2 linked regions of the Caenorhabditis elegans genome follow. The protein of the gene in region 2 interacts with the protein of the main gene of each other region in a pairwise test. Each region holds a gene or a part of one and is shown on either strand. Other genes may lie near its edges.

Region 1 (7,766 bases), on a different chromosome or scaffold from region 2:
CAAACGTGGGTGTATAGATTTATTTTCTAGAACAATTGATTTTCGAAGATAACAAGAAGATTAGCACAAAAAGGTTTTTCTGGTTTTGAGATGAAAACGGGTGGAAAACTTTGGATCATTGGATTTTTAAAATTTGTCCACAAAGAATTGAAAGTCATTTCTACAAGGGATGCAGAAACATTCTTGTGCGTTGCTCTTTGTAGTTTCCCAGACAATTTAAATTTGTGCTCTACTCCGGATGTTCAAAATTTATGCCTCAGATGCAAAGAAGTGTGAAAAGTGTTTCCGGTTTTTATTAAAAGTGGTACTTGCTCTTTTTTGTCCGAAATGCTGGCCGATCATTGATAAAGGGAACTTGAGTAGCCTTTGAGTGTGTTTGTTTTTGTTTGTCACTCTTACCACCCTACATTATCTTTCCGGTCATTGTTTATCAAGTGTGGCAAATGATGATGAACAACACTGGAGATTGAGAAGACAAATTATTGTAGCAACTAATAATTAATATTTGAGTGTTCTTCTGTCTAGATTTCAACATTTTCTCCGAGTTGACTAAAAGTAAAAGGAAACAACGGAAATGAGTAATTTGTCTATTTAATGGAACACGAGGGGTTAAGTTAAGAAATAGGCATACAGTGATAGAGAAAAGCGTCAAAAAAGTATATGAGTGGGTTGAGACAACAATGAATGGAATGAAGAATGATGATGAGTAAGTGATGAAAGAATGTTAGAGGTCACGTGCTATCATTTCGACCTAAAGATTTTCGAGGAACCTTTGAGATGTTCAGCTAATAGACAAAATATGACGTTTTATTTAAGAATGTTTGTGTTACAACATATTCATTGGACAACTTGCAAACTTTGATACGAAATCATTGAAACATCAAGGGGACCAATGTAGCAATTTTAGTGCATTCAGTTTTACCAAACATCACTAACATTTGATCAACGTTTCATCTTTATTTTTTATGTGCAAAATTCTATGGTTTTATTATTTTTGGGGAGCAAATTTTCTAGAAATTTGAGAGCAACTTAAGCGATTATCTGCTTTAAAAATCTGAAATTAAATTTTTTAACAGTAGTACGAAATTCAACAAAACGGCAGAATTTTATAACGAGACTGCACAATGAATTATCAAAAAAGTTTTATGATGACTCAACATGTCTTTTTAAAGATTCAACCATTAAAATTAATTAAGAGGAACATTCCATGCCATGTAAACAACAAAAATCTGCAAAACCAAAACTTAAAAACTTTGAGCCTTCATAAAATGTTTTGGAAGTTGACTTCAAGCTATTACTTCAATCGTTTGAGCACATTTTCAATCTTCATAATAAAAACCCAGAGCCGTAACTCCCTTGAAATTAATAAAAAAAAACAACAAACTCAACTTCTGCCTTGTGAAATTTCAATCTGAAGTTTATCATCCACACATTATCTATTAAAGTTATTTTCTTTTTTTTTCAAAATTTGAAACATTTTGAATTGTTTTCAAAAAGTCTACAAGCTTTAGTTTGAAAAATGGAAAATTATTTTTATTACTTAACTCGTAAATCAAAAATCACTGAAACTCTTCCTTCGTTTTCAACATAAATCTATTAATGGGACACAAAAAACGTTCTCTGATTATTAATGTGCAAACGGCTAGTTTTTTTTCTATTAATATGTTTCCGATTCCCACATCAAGTTAACATAACGAAAATAGAAAAAAGTGATCCAAAGTTTCCCACACTTATTCTCTCGAAATAGAATATAAGCCATGGCTAACCATTAGTGCGGATTGAAATGGACTGATAATGACATTTGAAGGGATTTGTACAAAGTATATGCAAATAATCCCCGCACACCATTAAAAAGGTAAGGAATTACAAATATCTAATTTGGAAACTATTGATAAGATTATGACGACAGCAGATTTTATTAAAATATATCCAGTTTGCAATTGTATATTTTCTGGATAACCAACCAACTTTTACGTCTTTTGCGGGAACACATCAAGTGACGAATCTGAAATGCAAGAGGAATTTTCTATTGATCATGTACAAGTTTCAGTTTGGCGAAGACACTGATCTTGCAAAAAAGAACCGGAATAGTACATCTGCAACAACTTAATTATGTTCGATCATTGATGAAAGTGCAATGAGGCTTATGCTCAACCTACTTTCTGTTGATCAGTGTGTCATGACTACAGAACTGATAATAGGCAGAAAATAATAAAACTCACAAGATGTGATTTTAGATATCAGCTTAGGAGCAAACATTTATAGAGTTTTTCCTTCTCATTAGACATATTGAAAGCGTGGCAATCTAAAAAATGTAACGTCAGTGTTTTTCCAAAAATCATACTGTAGGAAAATATTACTTCCGAGAAATGAGATTGCGATGTTTATTAGGCCACGAATTATGAAAAATCTGAAAACACGTTTACAAGAAGTGTTCATTTTAATCAGCTCCGAAATGTAAAATATTTTTGGAAAATCAGGTCAAAGATGTTTTTTGAAGGTTTACATCAGTGCTGTGCGGCTCTTGAAAAAGTCGGCTCTCGGCTCGCGCCGAGAGCCGAGTCGAAATTTTTTTTCGGCTCTCGGCTCTCACCAAAAGCCGAAAAAGGTCCAAAATGCCGGCTCTCGGCTCGCGTCGAGAGCTGAAAAACACCTAATTTTCGGCAAAAATCCCAATTTTTCGGCTCTTGGCGGGCGCCAAGAGCCGAGTCCCATCATTCTATGCGGCTCTCGGCTCGCGCAGAGAGCCGAGAGCCGCACAGCACTGGTTGACATCCAAAATTTTACAGATCACTATAAAAAGTTGATTTATCTTCTATTTGGAATATCCACGGGTAGTCAGCGTATCGCGTCCTAGTTCGGTCTCGGGAATTCATGTCAGTACACATTATTTTGTAGTATGCCACCCCGACAGGTTTTTTTTTCTGGAAGCAGAATACAAAACGCTCATATTGGTTATTTTCAGAAACCTTGTATTGTAATGATTGCCAGACGTCAAGCAAAATACTATGTCGATCGATTTCTGTCGCATTCTATTTCAGATTATTGTCAACTCGAAAAACTGCCGTTCTCGTAATAGTTCGATCATTGTTCGCACCTCGTCGATAAAAAGTTCTGCTGTTCCGATATTCCGAGCTATGGAAAACTTTTAAAAAACATTAAAAAACAAGCTACTCTGAATTCAGCAATGCCCAATGAAATTTAACAATGTTAATTTTCAGTGTAACATAATATTAAGCTAACAGACATTTCAATAACAAAACGGTAATTCAATGTTTCAAAACGTTTGAAAAATACCAATTATCTTGCAAGAATGATTGTGGAATTAAAAAACATGATATTCTTTCAGTGAAATCGTGCAATCAGCCAATTTCCCAGTTTCACTATCAATTATCAAAATCGTTTCCGCATTTTTCAATTATGTGTTATATTTAAAAATAAAGGGTAAACGAACTTGAGTGGGGAATTGAAGATGATGTGCATCCGGAATGCATTTTCTTTCCGAATTGATGAAAAATATTGAATCTCAATGACTTCTTCACCCACCTTTTCGTTTTCTTGCCATGCGTCTTTTTTTTTTTAGATTTCCGAAATGTTTCTCAATTTGACATTTATTTTATTTTTCATAACTATAGAAGCAAATGCTTATTGCCCTTTTAAAAAGTAAGATTAATGTTTGAAGTCAATTTTTAAGAAAATGAGATCATGAGAATTCGTAAGTTTTCAGAGCATACGTCGATGATATTTTAATGATAACAACTGATGATTACTTATCTGTTGGGCAAGATGAAACATCCGAAGTTTGTGAAATTGAAATTCAAAGTCTAAATGGAAATCTTATACTTGTTTCCATTACCAATTTCCTTATGTTTTCCCATAGAAGACCACGGAATCCAAATGAAATTATATTACGAAACTCTGATATGCAGTTCATTGTGGACAGCAAGCCAAAGGTTAGATTACCGTAACAGTTACGAGAAATTATTAAAATTTTAGGGTTATCAATTAATGAAAACTCCAGTATGGTTGACAATTCCAATGAATCTGAATTTCCGATCGATTTTATTGTTTTCAAATCCAAAGGAATGCTCTTCATATGAGTCTATCAGATGTCCAGAATACAGCCTATGCTACAGTAACCTCATTTTTCACACAAAAACTGTTTTACCATTACTGATTTCTAGATTGCTCCAAATACTGTTTTTCTTCGAGTCTAGAATGTGATGGATTGGATACTTGCGGAGAAGATGAATCAACTTGTGCATTTATTACTGTAAGAAATGGTTTCAGAGATTCGAAACATTTATTTTATTTTTACAGCCACGTACACCTCACACTTCATACAGATATGGTAGAGATGCTTTATCATCAAGTCAGATTATGTTAATTGGATTCTTCGCTTTAAATGGATCATTTATAGGTGGATTCACATTTTCGAAAAAAAAAGATAACTTTTGGTTTACAGTATTCTTTCTGATATTATCACTATGTTCTGCCGGATTGTTCTATCGTTGCCCATTTTATGCCAAAAACAGCAACGCGTCTCGGCACACTTTTATTCGATATCTTCGGTGAGTCAACATGTCTGAAGTAGTATTATATTCAAAATAAATATCCCATCCGACACAAATAAAACAACTTTTTATGAGCTTAGAGCGTCTGAAAGATTAACCATAAAGCTCAAGGAAATACTTCCTTATTTAGTCTTAATTCTATATTATTGTAGACAAGCAATTCCTCCTGCACTTGCTCCACCACCTTCAGTTCAAGGGGACCAACCAAAAGATGAAGGAGAAAAGACATTAACTGTTCCGTCTACACCTACAGGTCATACACGACATCGTCATTCAATTCTGAGCAGGATTAATTTTCAACCTGCTCCTGCTTTGAGTGAAATTGAACCTGGTATTTGACAAAATTAGCTACTAAAACCATAATTTTCTTTAGAAGTGGAGGACAGAGAGCAATCACCACAAGAATCAATTTGTGAACCACCTGCACATCAGCCAGAAGTATTCCTTCGACGGCAAAGTCTTCCATTTGGACTCACTGCAGTTCCAGTCTCAAATGATTTAAATTCCAAAACTGATGATAAACGAAATAGATTCGCTTCAAGAGCTATGTCTTTTCAACATTAAATGAACTTATTTGTAATAAAGCTTTTACATTTATGATTTGTTTTCAATCAGAAAGAAACACTTTAAAAATTGCTCAATGATTGAAGGGTGTAAAATATTGAATTTGAATAACCGCCAATTGCTGCACAACGATACTCCGCTATTGCGCGAAAGTGCGCTCTATTTAGAAAATTTCATTTTCAAACATTTATTTTTTCGAAACAAAAATGCTCAATTTACTTTATATTTTTGTTTGATTCTGCTTTTATATCTTTTTATTTAATTTCGCAATTAAATTTAATTGTTTCAGACTTACTCGAGCTTTAAAAATGGCCCGAAATGCGGAAAAGGCTATGACGGCGCTAGCACGATGGCGAAGAATGAAGGAGGAAGAGGAGAGGGTAAGTTTTTCTTTTCATTTTACTCTTTTTTTTTGAATATTAATATCAAGATAATTTTAATTGCAGGGTCCTATTGCCAGAAGACCCCACGATGTGAAAGATTGCAGGAATTTGTCAGATGCTGAGCGATTCAGACGAGAGGTTAGATTTTGTATGAAAACCTGTAATTTTGAACTTTATTTAGATTGTGCGAGATGCTTCGAAAAAGATCACAGCTATCCAAAATCCTGGTCTCGGTGAATTCAAGCTTCGGGACTTGAATGACGAAGTTAATCGACTGATAAAACTGAAACATGCTTGGGAACAACGTATTCGAGAGTTGGGTGGTACGGACTATCGGTAAGAAAAATGACAATTAGACATATTATTCTTATTATTATTTTCAGAAAGTATGCACAAAAAGAACTCGATGCAATAGGGAGGGAAACGGGCAATTCCCGAGGTTACAAATATTTTGGAGCTGCAAAAGATCTTCCCGGTGTACGCGAACTATTCGAAAAAAGCACAGAAGGTGAAGAACAACGACGCCATCGTGCTGATTTATTGAGAAATATCGACGCTCACTATTTTGGTTACTTGGATGACGAAGATGGTCGCTTAATTCCTTTGGAAAAACTAATTGAAGAGAAAAACATTGAACGAATCAATAAGGAGTTTGCCGAGAAACAAGCTCAAAAGCAACAAACTGCTTCCGATGCAGCACCTGAAAATATCTATAAGGTCGAAGAAGACGATGACGACGACCTGGAAACTCAAGAGTCTACAGTCATCGGAGAGGATGGACGACCAATGACTATTCGTCATGTTCTACTGCCAACTCAACAAGACATTGAAGAAATGCTTTTGGAACAAAAGAAGCAAGAACTCATGGCTAAGTATCTGGATTGATTCCTTGTTTAATTTATTTTCTTTAAATTTTTCATCTCAAATTATGAATTTTCGGTTTTATTCATTTATTTTATTAATTCATAATAGAAAATTACAAAATTAGAAAAATGAAAGAAGATAATACAAGTAAACTGAGCGGCATCGTCGTTCGTGATGATGTGTTGCAGAATTCTCTGTGCGAACACATACACGCTATCTCAGATAACGATATCCTTTTGCAACCTTCTGGATAGTATGTGTGAATAAGTGTATCGTGAGGAAGGCAAGTGAGAGCAATTGAGACTCTGTTTAGATGGTTTCTGAAAATTAAGTTTGGAACTATTCAAATATAGAAATTGATTTTAAGTCAAGGTTTTGTAAGGTTATTTATTTAAATTTATTTTTGGTTAAAAAAATAGTTTTCCATTTGGATGGAAGGTTAAAAATTTGAGATCTTCCAACCTCTGAACTCGAAGACAAGCTGCTCCTTCGCACAATGAGCATGTATTAGATATCGCACAATCTGAACCGTCAAGGCACCACATCTGATGACTGTCACGACACAGAATTACAATGACAAGAAGAATTGAGACGCCGACGGTCATCGGCGCTCGAGCATGACCGGCTGAAAGTGGTGTCTGAAAAACTGACCAATACGAGTGAAGTTTATGGACATCAAGAGAGATGATGAATTGAGAATAATGTGTATTTGGGTAGAAGAAAGTTCCGTTTTATAAGTGAAAATCGATGAAAAACAGTAAAACAAAGAAATGGGAGGAGCCTATTTAGGGAATTCCGCACGTTGCACTTTTTTCCGTTTTGAACCTACCTAAAATTTAGATTATCTGTTTGACTGTAGACATGAACAATTGAAAAAAGATAGAATGGCTGATCACAATAATACTTTGAAAATAGGCTCCGCCCAGATCTTGGCTTTTTGAGCTTTCTTGGATTTAATTTTTTTTTCTAACTTTTGTCTTATATTCTCACAACTCCGGCGCGATCCCCTTCCCGAGACTACAGTATTCCTACAGTAACCCTACAGTATACAGTACCTTTACCGTACTACAGTACCTAGATCCTATCTCCACAGTAACTTCTGCTCACTATCCCATCAAAAGCCAGAAGTTCATTAACTGCAATGTCTAAAAACTGCCTGGATTTAGAAAAACAATATTCAACACTAAAAGTTTATATTGTTGAATCAGGAAATTCCGTCACATGACAATTTGATAAAACATTCATATCAAAAAGAATTCGGCGAATTCTATCGGCAGGTGAAAAAAACTCAAACTCCGACTTTTGATATAATACTAGTAATTCACTTAGTGGTCACCCCGTACACCGCCCCGTGAATAGAATAAAACAAGGAAAATGGGGG
Region 2 (7,929 bases):
CATTTTCAACGTCTGAAAAATGATTTTCGAGCTCATCCTAATTTCAATTGTTACCTACTATTTCTGGCATTGGACTTTCTGGAAGCGACGTGGATTGCCAGGCCCTTGGGGAGTTCCGATTTTCGGAAAAGCTGGAGCTATGCTGGAGGATAGTTTCCCACCGGGTTACACTCTTCAAAAATGGACAAAGGAATATGGAAAAATTTATGGATTCACTGAAGGAATGCAGAAAGTCATGGTGATTTCAGATCCTGATTTGGTTCAGGAAATCCTTGTGAAACAGTACGATAATTTTTATGGAAGAAAGCATAATCCAGTTCAAGGAGATCCAGATAAGGATAAGGATATTCATATTGTTGGAGCTCAAGGTTTTAGGTAAGGAGACCACTTCAGACGTGCTGGCTTGCCTGCCACTCGCATATTTTAATTGATAACTTTCAGATGGAAACGTCTCCGAACAATCACGGCACCTGCATTTTCAAATGGCAGTATCAAAAAAGTATTGACTACAATGGAAGATAGCACACAGGAGCTTATGAAAAAATTAAGAGAAGAATCAGAGAATGGAAAAGCAGTCAATATGCATCTGTAAGTTGTTCATAGCGGTCTAATTAAGGTGTTTTACTGTTAAATTTTAGTTTCTACCAGGAGTACACCTTTGACGTGATCTCCAGAGTTGCCATGGGACAACCCGACTCCCAAATGTTTAAAAATCCATTATTAAAGGATGTTAAAGGGGTAGGTTCATCTCCTTTGTTGGATTGATTTTTAATTTTAAAAGTTTAACAAAAATGTATTTTTACAGTTCTTCGAGCACAACCGCTGGCAGATCTGGATGTTCAGTGGAGGATTTCCATTTGCTGTGTCTTTTCTCAAATGGTTGTTCATTAAAGTAGGCAAGTTCGGAGCTGGTCCCTTTATTGTCGTGCAAAAATCGGTAACGGACGCAGTGATGTCCCGGATTGCTCAACGAGAAGCCGATAAGAAACATGGAGTTGAGCCAGGAGAGGCCGCTGATTATATTGATATGTTTTTGAATGCAAGAGCCGAAGTTGAACATTTTGGTGAAAGCAATGACGAATTCCATAAATCATCCTCCTATGTAAGCTTGAAATTAACATAGTGATTTTTATAAATTCCTTCAATTTCAGAATAACCGACAACTGACCACTCAAGAAATCATTAGCCAGTGCTTTGTATTTTTAGTTGCTGGATTTGATACTACAGCCATTTCCCTTTCCTATGTTACATACTTCTTGGCATTGAATCCAAAAATTCAGAGCAAGTTACAAGACGAAGTAGACAAAGAATGTCCAAATGATGAGATCACATTTGATCAGCTTTCAAAATTGAAATATATGGATAATGTGATCAAGGAGTCATTAAGATTGTTCCCATTTGCTTCTTTGTGAGTTTCCAATGTTTACTTACAAATTAAATATATTTTACTTTCAGTGCAAACTCCCGCCGATGCATGAGAAATACGGTTATCGGAGAGCAAATTGTAGAAGCTGGTGTTGATGTGATGATCGACACCTGGACTCTTCACCATGACAAAAATGTATGGGGAAATGACGTAGAAGAGTTCAAGCCTGAAAGGTAAGATATTTTCGATGCGTACTTTAAGAAAGATTTTTCAAGAGCGTAGTGACGTCTATCAAGATTCTATGAAAAAGTAATTTAAAAATATTTTTAGATGGGACTCTCCATTAACTCCTCAACAAGCATACCTCTCATTTGGTGCTGGACCCAGAGTATGTCTCGGAATGCGGTTTGCACTTTTGGAGCAGAAAGGATTATTGTCACATATACTCAAAAAATATACTTTCGAGACAAATGCGAAGACACAGCTTCCGATTAAATTAGTAGGCCGAGCAACTGCAAGGCCTGAAAACTTGTTCTTGTCATTGAAGCCGAGAGTTTGATTATAATATACCTTTCCTAATCCCTCCATGTTGTTTTAACTTTCTTCAACTTAATACAAATAGCTTTAAATTTAATTTTTTAAGTAACTGACATAGAAGTTTGTGCTTTTAAATACGTGAACATACAAATTTATTGGGTAAATATATAAACAAAGACAACAATCCGTACAAAACACATTTCAAAACCTGGATTTAAGTTTGAGCAGCACACTTGATGGCGCAATAGTAGCAGTTCCGACTAACTTCAATGGAATCACAGTTTCTGGTGTGGTTTCAAATGTATAGTTTTTCAAAATATTGGTCAAAAGCATTTTCATTTCCATCATAGCCAATCGCATACCAATACAAATTCTTGGTCCCATGCCGAACGGAAGATATCCGCCTTTAGCAAAGAATAGTTCATCCCCGGACTCCCATCTGTAGAACATTTGATGAAATAAATAATTGTCAAATAAAACCAACCTTTCCGGCTTGAACTCGTTAACATCATCTCCCCAAACTTTCGGATCATGGTGAAGAGACCAGGTATCCACATTAATATTTGTTCCAGCTTCTATTTCCATTCCCAGAACATTTGTGGTTTTGAGACATTTTCGATTGTGAACACTGAATTATTTTTTAATTACAGAGAACAAACTACACCACGGCAAAACTTAGAAATTAAAAAAAAACTAACAGAGACGCCAATGGATACAATCTCAATGCTTCTTTCACAACACATTCCAAATATTTCAATTTCGACAGCTGATCAAAAGTGACTTCAGGGTCTGGACATTCTCTATCCACTTCTTCTTGTAATTTCTTCTGAATCTCTGGATGTGTTGCCAGGAGATATGAAGAATATGACAGAGAAAGGGCAGTCGTGTCGTATCCAGCTAACAAGAAAACAAACAGTTGTCCAATAATCTCATCAAATGTCAGATGCTTATCCACTTTCAAGACTTCACTTTTAGCAAAATCTTGTTCAGCTTCGCCTTCGAAAAAGTCTACAGTTGATCTAGCATCTAAAAACAAATCGATGAAATCTTGAGGCTCCCCAGATGGCTCAATTCCAGCCTTCTCATCAGCTTCCCTTTGTTCCAGTCGTTTGTTCAAAGCCTTCTCCAAAATACTTTGAATATCGGTAGCCATTTGAAGTGATGGAAATTTGGCAAAAATGTTGCGTAGAGCAATTCCAACGAAAGGAAATATTCCAGAGATCATAAAAACATTGTTTCGTCCTTCTTTGAAAATCTGAAAAATTTGAAATAAATTATTTAAAATCAAGTCATTCCACAAACCGTTTTGACTTTATCTAGCATTGGGTTTCTAAACATTAAGGATTTTTCTTGTCCCATTGCCATTTTTCCAATAATATCCATTGTGAATTCTTGGTAATATCTTTAAAAAAGTTAATTGTCTAAACAGTTCCAAACTTTTTATTTTGAAACATACTCTAGCATGTCAAGAGTTTTTCCTTCCGCACTTGCTTTCTCTAATGATCTGACCAACTCCGTAACACTTTCTTCTACAGTACCCATAATCTTTCTTAGACTTTTATTCGAAAAAGTAGGAGAAGCTAAAGTTCTCAATCGCTTCCATCTATGGCCTTGAGCAGCAACAAGTGGTACTCTCTTGTTTTTATTTGGATCTCCTTGAATTGCAGTTAATTTTCTCCCGTAGAAATTATCAAATTGTTTTACAAAAACTTCATGTACAAATTCTGGATCCGAAATTACCAACGTCTTTTCAACACCTTCCGTAATTCCATAAACAGGTCCGTATTTCTGAAATATTAAACATTACTTAATGATTAATGTAAAATAAATAAATTCATTCTACCTTTGTCCATTCGCTGAACTTCAAAGCTCCAGGGTTCTCATAGTTTGTGAACTTGTGAATAACTCCGAGAAATGGTAGACCTCTAGGCCCTTTGACTCCTTTTCGAATCCAGAATGACCAAATCCATAAATAATAGGAAATTATTCCAACAAATATTGCAATAGCTATGAGTATACTGAAACTCATGTCTAGTTTCAAAAAAAATTAAATTAAATTAAATTGTGTAATATGTGGCATTATTTATATACTTTTTTGTCGATCATCTGTTAAGTTAGTTTTTAGTCTTATCTTCTTGTCGCACAAAACATTATGGTTTGTGTTTAATAGAACAAGAAAGTGGGTGACAAGAATCGTATGATTTGGAGAAACCCAGCAATCAAGAAGATTTTGTTTCAAAATTCGTAGTCTGGATACTTTAGAATGTATTCTCAATTTTCGAATAAAGTTTAGAGGATGTTTTTTCAAACTTTTATCAATTTTTGAAAACTATCTGATGGTTTTATAATTATTACAGTCACATATTTGTAGCTTGTGAATCTAAACCTATTATGTATATTCTCGTTTTAAAAAAATTAATTGCCGAAAAAAAGCAAAAAATTTTAATCTTACGAAAAAAAGTTTTTTTTTTGGATTTATCAGCTTCAGTGCTCATTTTCATCCCTAACTTTCTTTCAAGAAATTTTAGATATGAAGAACAATTTTAAAATTCTAGATCAACCAAATCTCTGAAACAAAACTAGTTTTCTATTGTTTCTACATATTGATATTTTTTTTAAACTCCATTATCATTTTTAATTTTTTAAAAAGTTTTCTAACTACCATCTGCTCTCCATCACCTCTTTATGTTTTTTGCATTTGAGCAGTGAAAAGTTTGAAGAATATTGGTACAACTTTTATACCTTCCAAAAAGTGCTTGCCCCATTCTCTATGTTCTCTTATCAGTACACTATATCTCAACAGTCGACACATTTGTGTGGAAAAGTGTTGTTTGTGTCTGACTGTTGTTTCTACCACCGATACTATTTATAAGGTGGTCTACCGAAAAACATCAATACGTTTCTTTTTTATTCCTGAAAATAAAAACATGATTTTCGTTTTATTATCTGCAGTTCTACTAGGAGTATTCACATACTCCGTATGGATCTGGTCATATTTTATTCGAAAGGGCATAAAAGGTCCACGTGGATTCCCTGGAATTGGAATGTTGATTCAGACCATCGATCATGAGAATCCACCGTTTTTAAAGTACAGGGATTGGACTAAAGTGCGTTGTTTTTTTTTTAATTTAGAAACCTTTTCGCATTTCTGCTAGTTTCAAAAATTTCAAAAACTTTTAAATTTCAATGAAAACTAATAAAATAAACTTTCAGCAATATGGTCCTGTTTACGGTTTCACAGAAGGACCCCAACAAACTATGATAATCTCGGAACCAGAGATGGTCAATGAAATATTCAAAAAACAATTCGACAATTTCTATGGTCGAAAGTTGCGTCCAATCATTGGTGATCCTGAAAAAGACAAACGAGTCAATATTTTCTCGACTCAAGGAAAACGTTGGAAACGTCTTCGGACACTGTCAAGTCCATCTTTTTCCAATAACAGTCTTCGAAAAGTGAGGAACTCTGTTCAAGAATGTGGAACTGAAATTTTATGGAATATTGAGCAGAAAGTGAGGAAGAACGAAGATATTGATATGTTAATGTGAGTGGTAATTTTGTAAGTGATTAAGTTTTATGATAAAAATTCAGAGTCTATCAAGAGTACACTCTGGGAGTAATTAGTCGCATTGCTCTTGGCCAGTCTGAATCGAACATGTTCAAGAACCCATTGCTGCCAAAAGTTCAAGCCGTATGTTTATAATATTCTGAAGAAGAATAGCAAGTGTTTTCAGATTTTCAACGGTTCCTGGCATGTGTTCCTTATCACTGGAATCTTTCCTCCGCTCGCAGGAGTTTTCAGAAAAATGTCAAAAATGCTACCAGCAAGTTTCATTCCAGCCTTCAAAATTTTCGATTTAATAGAAGTAGCTGTACAGGCAAGAATTGATCAGCGAGCTAAAGATGAGATAAAAGGAGTTGAGCCAGGAGAACCTCAGGATTTTATTGATTTATTCCTTGATGCCCGAGTTCCAGACGTGAAAATATTGAGCGGAGAGGCGAATGAAGATTTTGCAAAATCGAGCGTTGTAAAAATCAACAAGGAGTTGACTTTCGATGAGATTATTGCACAGTGTTTCGTATTTTTAGCTGCTGGCTTTGACACAACTGCATTATCTCTCTCATATGCTACATATCTTCTTGCAACACATCCAGAAATCCAAACAAAATTACAAGAAGAAGTGGACAGAGAGTGTCCAGATCCCGAAATCTTCTTTGATCATTTATCGAAACTGAAATATTTGGAGTGTGTAATGAAAGAAACGTTGAGATTATATCCATTAGGAACGACGTAAGTTGACAAGACTATTTTTGGCTTAAAATTAAAAAAAAGTGAGAACAATATAATCTTACAGAGCAAACACGAGAAAATGTATGCGAGAGACAACAATCAACGGGGTGAATTTTGATGAGGGAATGAACATTCAAGTTGACACATGGACACTACATCACAATCCAAGAATTTGGGGAGAAGACGTAGAAGACTTCAAACCCGAAAGGTAATCTTAGTGATCTTGTTTTCATCACAATCTTCTATATTACAGGTGGGAAAACGGAGCTTGTGAGCATTTGGAGCACAATGGATCGTACATTCCATTTGGCTCGGGACCACGTCAGTGCATTGGAATGAGACTAGCTCAAATGGAGCAGAAGATTTTATTGGCTCAGATTCTCAAAGAATACTCATTCAGAACAACAAAAAATACACAGATTCCGGTGAAGTTGGTAGGAAAGTTGACACTTTCGCCGGAAAGTGTAATTGTGAAATTGGAGCCGAGAGATTCATAATTTTTTGTAATTTTACATGTATAAAAATTGTCTAATTAATATTTATTTTACTGATATGTTTTAATTGAAAAATAGCCATAAATAAATCAAAATAAAATCAAACATAATTTTATATTGAACATTTAATATTGAAAACAGTTAAACAAACTGATAGTTTACAAAAAAATGGTTTACAAAAAAATGAAAAAAAAAATGTTGTTGTCTTTGGAGTATAGAACATTATTCTACTTGAACAACTTCAAAAAACTCTAACAATAAATATCATAAATGAATTACCTAGCTAATCAATCATCATCTAAACACTATCTTGTTTCACTTCTGTCCAATTCCAAGTCACAAATTTTCCGTCATTCATTTCCCATTTTTCAAACACAAATCATAGTGACTTGTTGCGCCGAGAAACACCCGAGTGAGTAAGCAAGTCAAATGATTTTTGTGACCACGGCCTTGGTAAATATGTCGGTTAGTATATAAATACTCTCTGGACTAGATAGAAGAAACACTATATTTTGTTCCAAAATATGAGTTTAAGTATACTTATTGCTGGTGCTTCGTTTATTGGACTTTTGACATATTATATCTGGATTTGGTCATTTTGGATCAGGAAAGGAGTCAAAGGACCCCGTGGATTTCCATTTTTTGGAGTGATTCACGAGTTCCAAGACTATGAAAATCCAGGACTGTTGAAATTGGGAGAATGGACAAAAGTGAGTTTAAAATTATGTGTTTACCAAAAACGAGTCACATATTCAGGAATACGGACCAATATATGGTATTACTGAAGGAGTCGAAAAAACTTTGATTGTGTCTAATCCAGAATTTGTTCATGAAGTATTTGTGAAACAGTTTGATAATTTCTATGGAAGAAAGACAAATCCCATTCAAGGAGACCCAAATAAAAACAAAAGAGCACATCTTGTCTCGGCTCAAGGGCACCGTTGGAAGCGGTTGAGAACTCTGTCATCACCTACGTTTTCAAATAAAAACCTCAGAAAAATTATGAGTACTGTAGAAGAAACTGTAGTAGAGTTGATGAGACATTTGGACGATGCAAGTGCAAAAGGAAAAGCTGTAGATTTATTAGAGTAAGTCTTTAATTAAAAATATTGAGAAGATGCAAAACATTTACAAAAAAACAATTTGCAGCTACTACCAAGAATTCACTCTTGACATCATTGGAAGAATTGCAATGGGTCAAACAGAATCGCTGATGTTTAGAAATCCAATGCTTCCTAAG

The links. The genes of interacting proteins can lie anywhere in the genome.
Region 1: the proteins of cyp-13A7 (region 2) and F53B7.4 interact in a two-hybrid assay, tested with the Caenorhabditis elegans proteins (one large-scale study listed by BioGRID).

Annotation. Positions count from the first base shown.
Region 1 is NC_003283.11:10,998,361-11,006,126, reverse strand, and holds F53B7.4 (Low-density lipoprotein receptor domain class A), read left to right. Parts: upstream 1-3,592; coding exon 3,593-3,663; intron 3,664-3,727; coding exon 3,728-3,953; intron 3,954-3,996; coding exon 3,997-4,135; intron 4,136-4,184; coding exon 4,185-4,273; intron 4,274-4,320; coding exon 4,321-4,420; intron 4,421-4,465; coding exon 4,466-4,571; intron 4,572-4,726; coding exon 4,727-4,905; intron 4,906-4,947; coding exon 4,948-5,138; 3' UTR 5,139-5,164; downstream 5,165-7,766. Other genes in the region: Protein isy-1, read left to right, coding at 5,447-5,518, 5,585-5,659, 5,703-5,857, 5,905-6,406; nssp-65 (Activin_recp domain-containing protein), read right to left, coding at 6,498-6,705, 6,848-6,990.
Region 2 is NC_003280.10:9,799,623-9,807,551, reverse strand, and holds cyp-13A7 (Putative cytochrome P450 CYP13A7), read right to left. Parts: upstream 3,933-7,929; coding exon 3,747-3,932; intron 3,692-3,746; coding exon 3,360-3,691; intron 3,306-3,359; coding exon 3,206-3,305; intron 3,159-3,205; coding exon 2,602-3,158; intron 2,532-2,601; coding exon 2,388-2,531; intron 2,343-2,387; coding exon 2,105-2,342; 3' UTR 2,039-2,104; downstream 1-2,038. Other genes in the region: cyp-13A8 (Putative cytochrome P450 CYP13A8), read left to right, coding at 20-375, 442-588, 639-738, 806-1,102, 1,152-1,408, 1,456-1,599, 1,697-1,925; cyp-13A6 (Putative cytochrome P450 CYP13A6), read left to right, coding at 4,831-5,010, 5,117-5,448, 5,496-5,595, 5,639-6,195, 6,260-6,403, 6,449-6,692; cyp-13A5 (Putative cytochrome P450 CYP13A5), read left to right, coding at 7,214-7,399, 7,446-7,777, 7,839-7,929. UniProt on the Caenorhabditis elegans protein: Cytochromes P450 are a group of heme-thiolate monooxygenases. They oxidize a variety of structurally unrelated compounds, including steroids, fatty acids, and xenobiotics.